Linked DNA regions of Lytechinus pictus. The main gene of each other region encodes a partner of the protein of the gene in region 2 in a complex. Links are inferred from orthologs where the notes say so. Each region holds a gene or a part of one and is shown on either strand. Other genes may lie near its edges. The genes, in order: small nuclear ribonucleoprotein-associated protein B'-like, serine/arginine repetitive matrix protein 1-like and small nuclear ribonucleoprotein E-like.

What was found.
Region 1: serine/arginine repetitive matrix protein 1-like (region 2) and small nuclear ribonucleoprotein-associated protein B'-like share a complex: the UniProt entries of both Homo sapiens proteins name them as parts of the minor spliceosome. The link is inferred for Lytechinus pictus from reciprocal best matches to the Homo sapiens genes SRRM1 and SNRPB.
Region 3: serine/arginine repetitive matrix protein 1-like (region 2) and small nuclear ribonucleoprotein E-like share a complex: the UniProt entries of both Homo sapiens proteins name them as parts of the minor spliceosome. The link is inferred for Lytechinus pictus from reciprocal best matches to the Homo sapiens genes SRRM1 and SNRPE.

What each region holds. Positions count from the first base shown.
Region 1 is NC_087246.1:62,260,898-62,264,653, reverse strand, and holds the start of small nuclear ribonucleoprotein-associated protein B'-like, read right to left. Parts: upstream 2,536-3,756; 5' UTR 2,432-2,535; coding exon 2,429-2,431; intron 1-2,428. Other genes in the region: negative elongation factor D-like, read left to right, coding at 2,783-2,830. UniProt on the Homo sapiens protein: Plays a role in pre-mRNA splicing as a core component of the spliceosomal U1, U2, U4 and U5 small nuclear ribonucleoproteins (snRNPs), the building blocks of the spliceosome.
Region 2 is NC_087248.1:16,740,675-16,744,430, forward strand, and holds the start of serine/arginine repetitive matrix protein 1-like, read right to left. Parts: upstream 2,902-3,756; 5' UTR 2,890-2,901; coding exon 2,743-2,889; intron 2,156-2,742; coding exon 2,033-2,155; intron 246-2,032; exon of another isoform or gene 196-245; intron 1-195. UniProt on the Homo sapiens protein: Part of pre- and post-splicing multiprotein mRNP complexes. As a component of the minor spliceosome, involved in the splicing of U12-type introns in pre-mRNAs. Involved in numerous pre-mRNA processing events.
Region 3 is NC_087263.1:5,426,927-5,430,682, reverse strand, and holds the start of small nuclear ribonucleoprotein E-like, read right to left. Parts: upstream 2,172-3,756; 5' UTR 2,057-2,171; coding exon 2,009-2,056; intron 1-2,008. UniProt on the Homo sapiens protein: Plays a role in pre-mRNA splicing as a core component of the spliceosomal U1, U2, U4 and U5 small nuclear ribonucleoproteins (snRNPs), the building blocks of the spliceosome.

The DNA.
Region 1 (3,756 bases), on a different chromosome or scaffold from region 2:
ATCCAGTTTATTTCTGTTTTCTCTTTTGAAGCATATTATAGCAGGAGAAAATCACATAAATATATGCTGCAAAATTAGAACAATGCATAAAAGGGGGAAACAAATGAAAATAATTTTCAAAAAGTATATTACAAAAAGAAAACAAAAATAATAAAAGAAATAAGTGAAATAAAACAAAAGAAAGAAAATGAAGAAAGAAAAAACAAAGAACAGGGAAAAAAAGAAAAGAAAAAATTTAGAGAGAAAAAAAAAAAGTGAAAGAAAAATGAATAAAACAAACTTAATTTAAACATGGGGAAAAGGGGAAAATTAAGAAGCCATTACGAATATTTTTTAACAGCTGTGGCAACAGTCTATTCTGACTGGAATATAATTAAAAGCCAAGCAAATAATGTTCACTTACCTTCTGGGAATGGCACATTTCTATTTTTATATCCTTTAGTTTATTTTTTTTTCAGTAGAAACATATTTTTTAATCAGGCATATTCAATGGGAAGGGGTATAAATGGTTTAACCACTGTAAAAAAAATGATAGAAAAAAAAATAAGAAGAAAACAGCAAAAGTTATATCTGGAAAAAAAGTGTGAGAAAAGTCCTTCCCTATATTTGCCAAAATGTTGGAAAAATTCACATTTCATATCAATGAAATGCCTTCCCAAAGTATTTACTTTCTCAAGAGTGGTTTAAGAAGTCATTTATAAACAAGAAAGAAAGAAACTGTCTGTTTATTTTTGGCTAGAAAAGACACAGCTTCGAAAGAAACCAAGTATCAACATACATACAAATGCACATGTGGGACTGTGATGTACTTGCCTATGTGTTTTTATGTGTTTTAATTCATTTGGAAATCGGTCTTTTGTAGTCAAAAGAGAGGTCATAATTCCTCTTCTTAATGCTTGCAAATAATCAGGGTACACCAAATTTTCGTAATATAGACTGTAGAATGTCATTTCATTGGTGTAAAATGTGACTTTGACTCAGATTTTCAAAGTTCTGTGGAAGATTTCTTAGCAGCAACATTTTTTATCGGAGCTCCATCTAGAGCACAGCTGTATGCAGTGGCTTCATGCAAAGCTCACGCCAGCCGGCGTGGCTGGCTGGATAATAGCTACTGTATGCTATAGCTGTAGGCCTAATATGCAAACTTTGTGTGTGTGTATTTGTGTGTAGATCAACAAAAAGGGCGCATGACGAATTGGGTTGCAATTTGAACTGTAGAAAGTTGATAAATGCGTGCAAAATCGGGAGAAAAGTTGCGCTTCTTTGAAAATTATTGGTTGTCCGATTCGGGCCACCAAAACTTAACATTTTATCAATAATGGTTGCCCGAGGTGAATTTCTGGTGGCCCCAGGCCACCGCTAATGTCGAGCCTTGCATATATGGACAGGGATTCAAGACTCCACGATGAAGAAATATATGTCAAAATATTAAAAAAAACATCATCATCATGATCATGGAGTCCTCAAGACTACATGTAAGTAGATCCTAAGTAAATAAATTCTGTTTACCATATTCTTCCAATTGTTTTTTATGACATTACTACAATTCAACATTCATACCACAGAAAACATAGATCCTACATGAATTATATTTGATTCAATGATTGTATTTTTGTTTTGGATCAAATGACTGAATAAAATGAACTGAATTGAATATAAATTAAAAAAAATAAAAAGTGTGGATATTTGGGCACTTTACTCTACAAGTTACAACCATTCCCGATCGCGATATTCAGAAACGCAGGGGCATATTGACCTCAAAATGTGACTGAATTTACTTGCCATGACAATTTTGCAAGCAATTTCTGACTCGAAGTCGGCCAGTGTGAAATTGCATTGGCGCCGTAACATCACAAAATTTGTGAAGAATTAGATCAAGTGCAAAGTTCAGTTTCAGATTGTTTTATAATTCTTTACAACACATACAATTTTGAAATTTAGTCCAACAGTTTTTTTTTCAAGCTCCCGAGGCTGAGCTCCACAACTCAAAAGCCAAAACTGGATTAAAATACAATACAATGAATTAATACAAGTTACAAGAATCAAGATCAGAAGATACCAAAATTCTTTCTAACAGTAACATTAACAAAGTTAACGTGGAGCTCTGCGTTCCGTATCTGGCTTGAATTGGCCAAGTAAGGTAAGGAATGCAGAGCTCTACGATTTAGAGCCATATTAAGTTGAAAAACAACAACAGCTAATTTGTTTTCAACGACTTCACAAGTCTCTATGAAAGCCGAATCAATGCCATTTTTAGTTTCAAAGAGAAAACCGAAACATACACAGATATGTACATGTGGGACACCGTTTTCGAATACACACATCCCCGCAATAAGTCACAAATTGTGAGCTTCATTAGATAAATTAAAATAAATCGTAATACATTTCATCGCATATATGTATATTATTCATATAAATATATAGTTACCATTTTGAAAGATTGTTATAGCCCCGATGTAGAAGGATATTGACTGCTTTCGTCGACCGTCACAAACATTCGCGAAACGACACGCTCAGCTAGCTGGCTCGAGCAGCGCGAGCATATATGCAAATATATGACGCCAAACAGCACGCGCGGCGCAATACGGAAATTAAACCAATTACAGAGTCCGTCTCAGACCCCATCTTTGTCAAGTGGGAATTTACAGACGATTTGATTGGTCCTTAAGCACAACAAAGATGGCAGCGCCCATGGCCATACTTTTCTACGTTGTCGATGTCTTGCATTAGGACTCTATAGGAGACTATTTTATCAGTTCTAACTTCATCTCTTGAATTGAAAATGGATGAAGACGAATATGGAGATGTTGACTGGAACTATGACCAGGCTGTACGTATGCTTAGTAATTCTTTTTAGCATTGTCTCATTTGTCTGGGTTGGGCGCCAACTGCACTCCGTCTCCATACCAGCCGGCGGGCGCGCCGGGCCCGCGGACTTTGCCCGTGCCTGCGCCCGTTCTGCCTGGCTATGGCTATGCCTATGGCTATGCCGCTGTTCGGTAAACGCGGTAGCAGTGCCAGTGCTGAGGGTTACGATACCTCGTCCTCGGGCGAAGTTCGTGCAGGCTCCACTTCACTACCACTGACCACTACGCTACGAGCGTAGTGGAGCGGAGCCTGCATGAACTTCGCCCGAGGTAAGGTCGGATTACCAGTGGCAGTGCTGAACTTAGACAGCTGGCAGCCCTCTGTTTCGAGGAGTTTTCTGACACTTTTAAAATTATTTTTTTTAATTTCTCCTTATTATACACAAACGGCTTGCTATCCACTCTAGGCGACACCCCAATACTTACCCGTGCTAATAAACTGGGACTCCACTCACGCGCATTTGGGCCGCCCTAGCTTAGAACTAAGCTTTGTTTTACTAAAAAATAAATCTTGTAATGATTCAATAAATGTTACTTAATAAATTAGTACTGTTAAATCGGTACTCACCGGTTCTTTTCTTGAATTTTCTGGCAATTTCCCACGCTTCTGGCTTCAATTCTGCGGCTGTTCCTGTCGCGGTAGACAACTACATATGCAACTTTATTTATAAATAGAGCGCCCCTTACGATAGTTGTTAAGAACGCGGCCAAATTGTTAGGTTTTTTGCACTGTGTCCAAGGCGTTTTTATTTTGTTTGATTTTTTATTTTTAATAAATATTTTGTTAAATAGCGATTTTTACGTCAAATATTAAATTCATATCACAAAATATTTTTTATTGTAGAAATATATATAATATCATGCAATTATTCATTCTATATATATTTTA
Region 2 (3,756 bases):
TAATTTCAAACACATTTTAACCCCAACTGAATTGACCTGTTATGTAAATACTCCTTGTTTTGGCAAGAAAATACAAGAAGACTATAGCCATTCTGTGACGAAATGCTAAGACCAAATTCTGTGTAAAGCTCTATATTCATAAATGATTTTATTTCATTACAGATGGCCATACTGTTTTGCTGATATTGGACATACTATTAATGTACTCTACCGTCTCTTGCAGTCTGAGGGAATGAAACTAAATCCTGAAATAAAATCATCAAAATGTCAATAAAATTTAAATGTGAAAACATATAAAAGGGGGGAAACTTCCATTGAGTTATGAGCAAATCACACACAATTAATCATGAATCAGAATATTATATTTTCTTCAAAACAATTATTTTTCTTTCTTTTATTCGGTGGGGGGTCACAATTTCCAAATTTCTTAAATTTTATTGTCGTCACATAGATAATCTGATCAGCTCATAACGTATTAAGTATAGTAGCATGGTAAGAACTCAAAAATTGATGAAAACATTAAAGTTATGTATTACTTACTTGTCTCAATCGCCTGGTCCATGAAGTAAATGAATCTCTTTGTACATAATAGGTACATTATAAGATTCATCTAGCAACATTCTTAATTCTGATTTTTAATGGTCAGTGTGTTATAATAGCACAAAATCATAGAAAAATAACATACTACATACTAATACAAGACAAACTATTTTTTTTCTTCAGATTACCTTTTGTTGAATATTTCTCCAGTGGCATCTCATCATTACCTACCACTACAAACTGCATGTAAAAGGGAAAAGTTCATGTGACGGCTCATTTAACTGCCAACGGGCTAATTGACTTCGTCTTTTTTTTCATAGAGTAAATTTTGTGGGCCAGCATTAAACTAATTCATCATTTTGGTTGGCAAAATGATCTAAAATCATACTTGAGTAGGATTAAAACAAAGATACTCAATAAGAAGCACTAATATTTCCCGTTATCAGTGCAAAACATTGCATGACAATCGGGTCTTGCCAAAAGTGCTACATACATAGTAAATCTGTGTACATGTAGCTCAACTGCTCAAGAACTCAAAAGCCTTTACCTACCAATCAAGACTTCTATATATAATCTCCTCAAAAGGTTCTTGAATTCAAAACTGAATACTTACCTGTAATCAGCATCAGTTTTAAAAGCTTGTCCTGTCTAACAATAATTAACCATCACTATGTTGGAGGAGGGGGTCGGAGAGGATTCCACTGGACACTTCACGCAAGAAGTAGGTTCCTTTGCTGGGCCCGGTAACATAAAGCTTTATAGCAACTGATCACAGGGCTGCTGTCTACAATTGATAGCATTGAGTCTAGAGTCTGGTGAGTCAGTAAATTAAATCAGCTCCACGTCCAATCGCTTTGCTTTATGTTATGTTTCCTGGGGGTGTTTCACAAAGATTTAAGTATGACTTAGAGTCGCCCTTAAACACCCAGTTGCGTACGGTATGAAAGGCTTGACCGCATTGGTCAGATCGTGTCATTAGGAAGCGCACTACTGTGTATCTATCAAAAAGATCGCCCGTTGCATATCATGTACGCGTCGGCATTTAAGTGCGACTTAAGTCATACTTAAATCTTTGTGAAACACCCACCTGGATGTGCATTATTCCTCCTACCTGAATAAGATCCCATTTGCTCTGCCTCGTCTTTTTTTGCTTACCTATTATTAGCTACCTTAGGCCATGCAGTCGCACATTATTAAAGATACCACAAACATCACTACTCTTTTGTTGTGAACAGCATACTTAAATGTAGTTCAACTTAAAATAAAAATGTGTCTTATCGAAAAGCATAGAAAGCAATCTATAAATACCTGCACAAGATGACCTATACCAATGACAAAACCTAATGAGTTCTCACCATGGCTACTATACACTTGACCTATGAAATAATGACCACAAAATATTGACCAGTACAATGATTAAAACATCAATCAATTTAACCTTAACACAGAGTTGACTATATACAATCTAGACAAAGAAAAGGCGACATCTTACTTCTTCTTCCAATTGGTTAAAGATGAACTCAATGAGGACATCATCTTCCACTCCAAGCATCTCGGTGACTTTCGTTGTAATCCATGGTTTTAGTGTATCCAAGTTGACCTTACTCATGCTCACCTAGAGAAAATTGAACAACAGAATTGATGAAATAAAGGGAATAGGGACAGCCCATTGCAAATGGTCGGAGTCAGAGATCAAGTGATTGGCAAACACCTCTCAAACAACCAGTCTTTTCATTTTCCCGTCACTACTACTAGATACTTGATATTTTATAAGTTTACATTTCTAAAGATTACAAGTCTTGGTTGGAATGAATTCCCAAATCTGGTTCATAGAGACAGCAGGATGAACAGAGCAATAACTGTATACTTTGCGGATGGGGGTGTTGCAAGAAAATATTTGCGGTCAATTGCAAATATTCTGTTGCAATTTTACAACTGATAGATCAACGTTAGCTGTAGCAAATCGGATTAAACTACTTGTTTCAAGGAGTAGATTAGCAATCAATCACTAATTTGCAATTAACTACAAGCCAAGTAATTGATGTAGCGTCAAAAATAGACTTACAATTGATCGCAGGTTTCTTGCAACACCCCATAGACACACCAAGCCAAGAGGTGGCTTCTTCCCAGTTGCATAAAATCTTGCCTCTTTATAACCCCCCCAGCTTAATACATGTAGGTGAATAATACTTCAGAACATACCTTCCTCTCCATAATAGGGTTGAACTTGAGCGATCTCAACAGCTTCTTTTTCTTATTTGTGAAGCGATTGTCTTGGTCGGCACTGGTGCCCTGTAAGAAATTGGAGAATGTAGAGAAAAATAAGGTTACTTGTGTACCAGACATCATGAACTGATTCTCAATGTTAAACTGATAACCAATGTCAACCGGCACTTTTACTGATTTAGAGCTCACCTACACCGAGCCCCACCAGAAGCCATGTGGAGCAAAGAACTGATAATACCTTGGATGTAAGCGTTAAAGTGAAAAAAAACCATATATGCCGCTCGTTGACTTCTCATGAAGTATCCCGAACACAATTTTAATGGTGCTGTACAGCAGGGCGCAACTTGCGCCGGTTCGACGGTCCCCGACCGGTAAATATCGCTGTCGGGCCAGTAGATTTTCAGAAATAGCAAGATGTACTGGTCCGACATGACCAGTAAAAAAATATCATTGCCGGGCCAGTAATTTTTCCAAAATAGCAAGATTTATGAGTCCGACATGACCAGTAATAAAAACCATTGTTGGACCAGTAACTTTTTCCAGAAATGGTCAAATTCACTGGTCCAACATTAACATAAAAAAATATTCCATGACTCAAATTGCAAACCATTTTCCTCCCGTTAATTTCTGTCATTCACACACAGAATACACACAAAATGAATCGCATGTAAGTGTTAATATGTTACCATACAGTGTACATGTAGCCAGCCACACAACCCACATGGTAAATTCTCTACTGGCTGCACATACGAAGCTTGGCTAACCTCTGGCAGAAATCTCTCACAGGACTGTCAAAATTCACAGTTCACACTCATGAAAGGCTCTTATTTATATAATGTCCATATTTCCTAAAAATTGGGGTAACTCTGTCATTTGTAAGCAGTAAAAGGAGAAATTTTCACTTCTGTTTTAGTTCAAACAGATCGGGTTTCGAGTGATATCGTCTGAATACATGATAGCCCACATGCATTTGTGTGTGTGTTGATACAC
Region 3 (3,756 bases), on a different chromosome or scaffold from region 2:
CCAGCAGAACTGACCAATCACCAAACAGAGACTGAAGCTATCAGGAGTTCAGGGGCCGATTGCACGAAAGGGTCTTTCCAAGGACCGTCTTTCCTGTCGCCCAATTTTTATGATGCGCCATGTGAAACGCATTTCAAATAAATTATCTGCAAACATATTTTACTCATCCGTTAAAATAAACAAAATGTTAGTTTATGAAATGATGTGATATCTCATGAAATTGTATAAAATTTTATTTAAAAGCAAGCTTACGAATTGTATTGTTTATCATAAATTTCAGAAACACTCCGCTTATAGCGCATCATAAAAGATGGGCGACACGAAAGACGGTCCTTGGAAAGACCCTTTCGTGCAATCGGCCCCAGGACCATTCATTTGAAATTTTGTTGCTCACCGGAGAGATATGAGATTGGGACATGTACATTGGCATCAGTCTCCAGACTAGTTTAACATTTTATTTTCGCTCTCCCAACTCCAAACATATGCCTCCCTCCATATTTTTCCAATTTTGAGACTCCACAGTGGCAAATTGTGTAGAACGGATAGCGATGCGTTCAACGCTAGCGGGCGTGTACATTTTGCTTATTACATGACGTCATCTAGCCACTGCCGATAGCCAATTTATGAATGAAAATATAGTAAGCATGCGCAGTGCAAGCCTTCCATTGCCCCACACAGTATTCCACCAAAACAAGTGTGCAATTCTCTATCACCTCGTACAAAAATCGACCTAGAATTTCCCTTTCCTATATTTTATATGAATTATGAAAGGTATTCTCGGAGGATCTATTTTTCTCACCGATACCGCACAGGTAAGCGAATTTCGATTACTTCTTGCTTTTCCGTCAAAATCTTACGAATTAGCGTCGCAGGGGTGTGAGTGGTCACAAATAAAAAGATCTGAAAAAAGCTGAAGTGTTGAAAAAGTCTGAAATAGAAAGAGCTCCCATACTTTTTGTACAGAGGAAGGCCAAAAATAAGCTGAAATTAAGCTGGAAATCAAAACAAAAATATCTGAAATCAGATTAAAATCTGAACTCTCACACCCCTGGCGTCGATATGGCATTGTGTTCGTTGGAGTTTGTAGAGTCTATCGCAACGTGCACAAAGTCAATTGATTTCCGGGTTTCGGAGCGTCGCGTGAATTTGCATGAAATTGCCGTGTCTCGATAATTTTCAATCGATACTGGAGCGATCCGATCGCAAACCAAGACCAATTCCCGCGTAAACAATGTGACCGGATATCGTTATCGCTATCGATACTTTCGCACGCAGTCCGAGGGAATTATTTTGGCGACCACGTAGTCATGACGTGATCTGCGCGATTGACCAATCAGCGGTCTCCGATTCGCTGAGCCGAGACGGTCTATCCGTTGTAAAGTCTATGGACGATTTACCACTGTGGACTCACAGTTACATGCTACATTTTTTGTAACAAAAAAATGAATTGTAAAATTAAATAAATGTATTCCATAAATAATTGAATGAATTGACTTATCAACGTCTCTTGACAAGCACAAGGATGGAAGGCCGACACAAAGAAAGAGAAAGGGAATTTAATGAGGAATTATCAGACATCGATCATGTCGACAGAAACAAATTTTTTTAACAATGTAACTTAGTGGAACTTACAAAGTCGAAGCAAACCAGTCACGTCACTCACCAAAATGTCCTTTCCCCATTTTTAATCTCAACCCCCATTAATAAATTTGTTGGCCAGGCCAAGTTACTAAAATACTGATCAATGTTGGGGGGCTGTGTAAAAAGGAAAGGAAAATCTGTTTTGTATATTTTAGTCTTATTATCAAGTTAGTCCGACCTCTGACTCTGAGACTGAGTCCGACTTTTGTTTTCCGCTACACAGCGCACAGCAGATGCAACCACAATTTAACTTCAGTCCCACACGTTAGTGTAAGTGTGAGCAGTTTCATATTCAACAGAAAACAAACACACATTAAGATACATTATAACGAGAAAAGGAGCATGTATTAGTTCTTTAAAAGGATACAATCGGTTGGACCATCACTTTCTGGACCTTCTGCCCTTTATACGCCATTTTCACAGCTTAGATCTGATCGATGAAATAAGAACAAACAATGCAGAATCGTTCCCGCTTCGTGGAGATCGCGTTCACATGTGTTTTGTCAAAAGCTATTACTAAACTGTCCCTCGCTAGAGCGCTAGAGGGCGACATATATGTTTTTCAGTCCTGACTGAAAAAGATAAAATGAGTTCAACTGAGATTTTCTTATATCCCTCATCCTTTCCTTCTCTACCCCATATCCTTCTCCTCCATCTTCTTCTTAATCCAATTTTGCTCCTCCTTCTTCTTCTTATATTGGCAAAAGTTTTAGGAAAATCCATCAAAGAATAAATAAGTCATTAGAATTCAAATTATTTGATTTGTGACATCATATGCGAGCAGCTTTCCTACATATTGTATGGTAAAAAATCAATGAAATTTCATTTTCTCTGAAAATTGAAAATGGTTTTTATGACAAATTATATATCTTCAGTATGTATTTAATAAACACATGATTTCCCACCCACTCCTAAAAAAGAAAAGAAAAAGTCATTACGAACCATTAAAATGTGAAATTTAAAGGAGAATGAAACCCTTGAAACCAGCTGAATCCATATAAAAGAGAAAAATCAAAGAAACATATTGTTGAAAGTTTGAGGAAGATTGAATGAATAATAAGAAAGTTATGAGCATTTGAATATTGAGATCATTAATGCCATGTAGATCCTCCCATTGGCAATGCGACCAAGATCTGTGATGTCACACACGTACAACTCCCTCATTACTTTAGTACTTACTTATATTCTCACTTTTATAGAGTCTATCACAAGGTGAGGTGTTCTCTTTATGAGAGGACAAGTACAGAGGTTTCACAACATTATATCATTGATGAATCGTTTGTCATATGATTAGAATGAGCAAAAAGAGATGTTTTGGGGTATATTTTCAGTGTCCAAAACTGGACAACTCTCCCCTTTTGGACACTGAAAATGTACCCCAAAACATCTCTTTTTGCTCATTCTAATCATATGACAAACGATTCATCAATGATATAATGTTGTGAAACCTCTGTACTTGTCCTCTCATAAAGAGAACACCTCACCTTGTGATAGACTCTATAAAAGTGAGAATATAAGTGAAATAAGTACTAAAGTAATGAGGGAGTTGTACGTGTGTGACATCACAGATCTTGGTTGCATTGCCAATGGGAGGATCTACATGACATTAGTGATCTCAATTTTCAAATGCTCATAACTTTCTTATTATTCATTCAATCTTCCTCAAACTTTCAACAATATGTTTCTTTGATTTTTCTCTTTGATATGGATTCAGCTGGTTTCAAGGGTTTCATTCTCCTTTAAGCATTTATATTACATAACATATGGGCTGCTGCTCGTTTATGACGTCAAAAATCAAAAACTTGAAATTCTAATAACTTCTTCACCAATATCTTTTTATTATTTTTCCTTCTATTTTTACAACAAACTTTTCGTCAGGGTGAACTTCCCCTTTGCTTTAATGAGTCTGAAATGTAACAATATATGTCTGATTCAGAAGACTGCGAACAATTGCTGCGAAGCACTGTGCATAGTTTTCCACATCAGGGCCCCGTCTTACAAAGAGTTACGATTGATCGAATCAATCTCAACTATATGGAAATCCACTGTCATAATTTTTTCTTCAGGAATTTTGCTCAATGTCTTTTGAAAACAAAGCTAGAGAAGCATACCGAA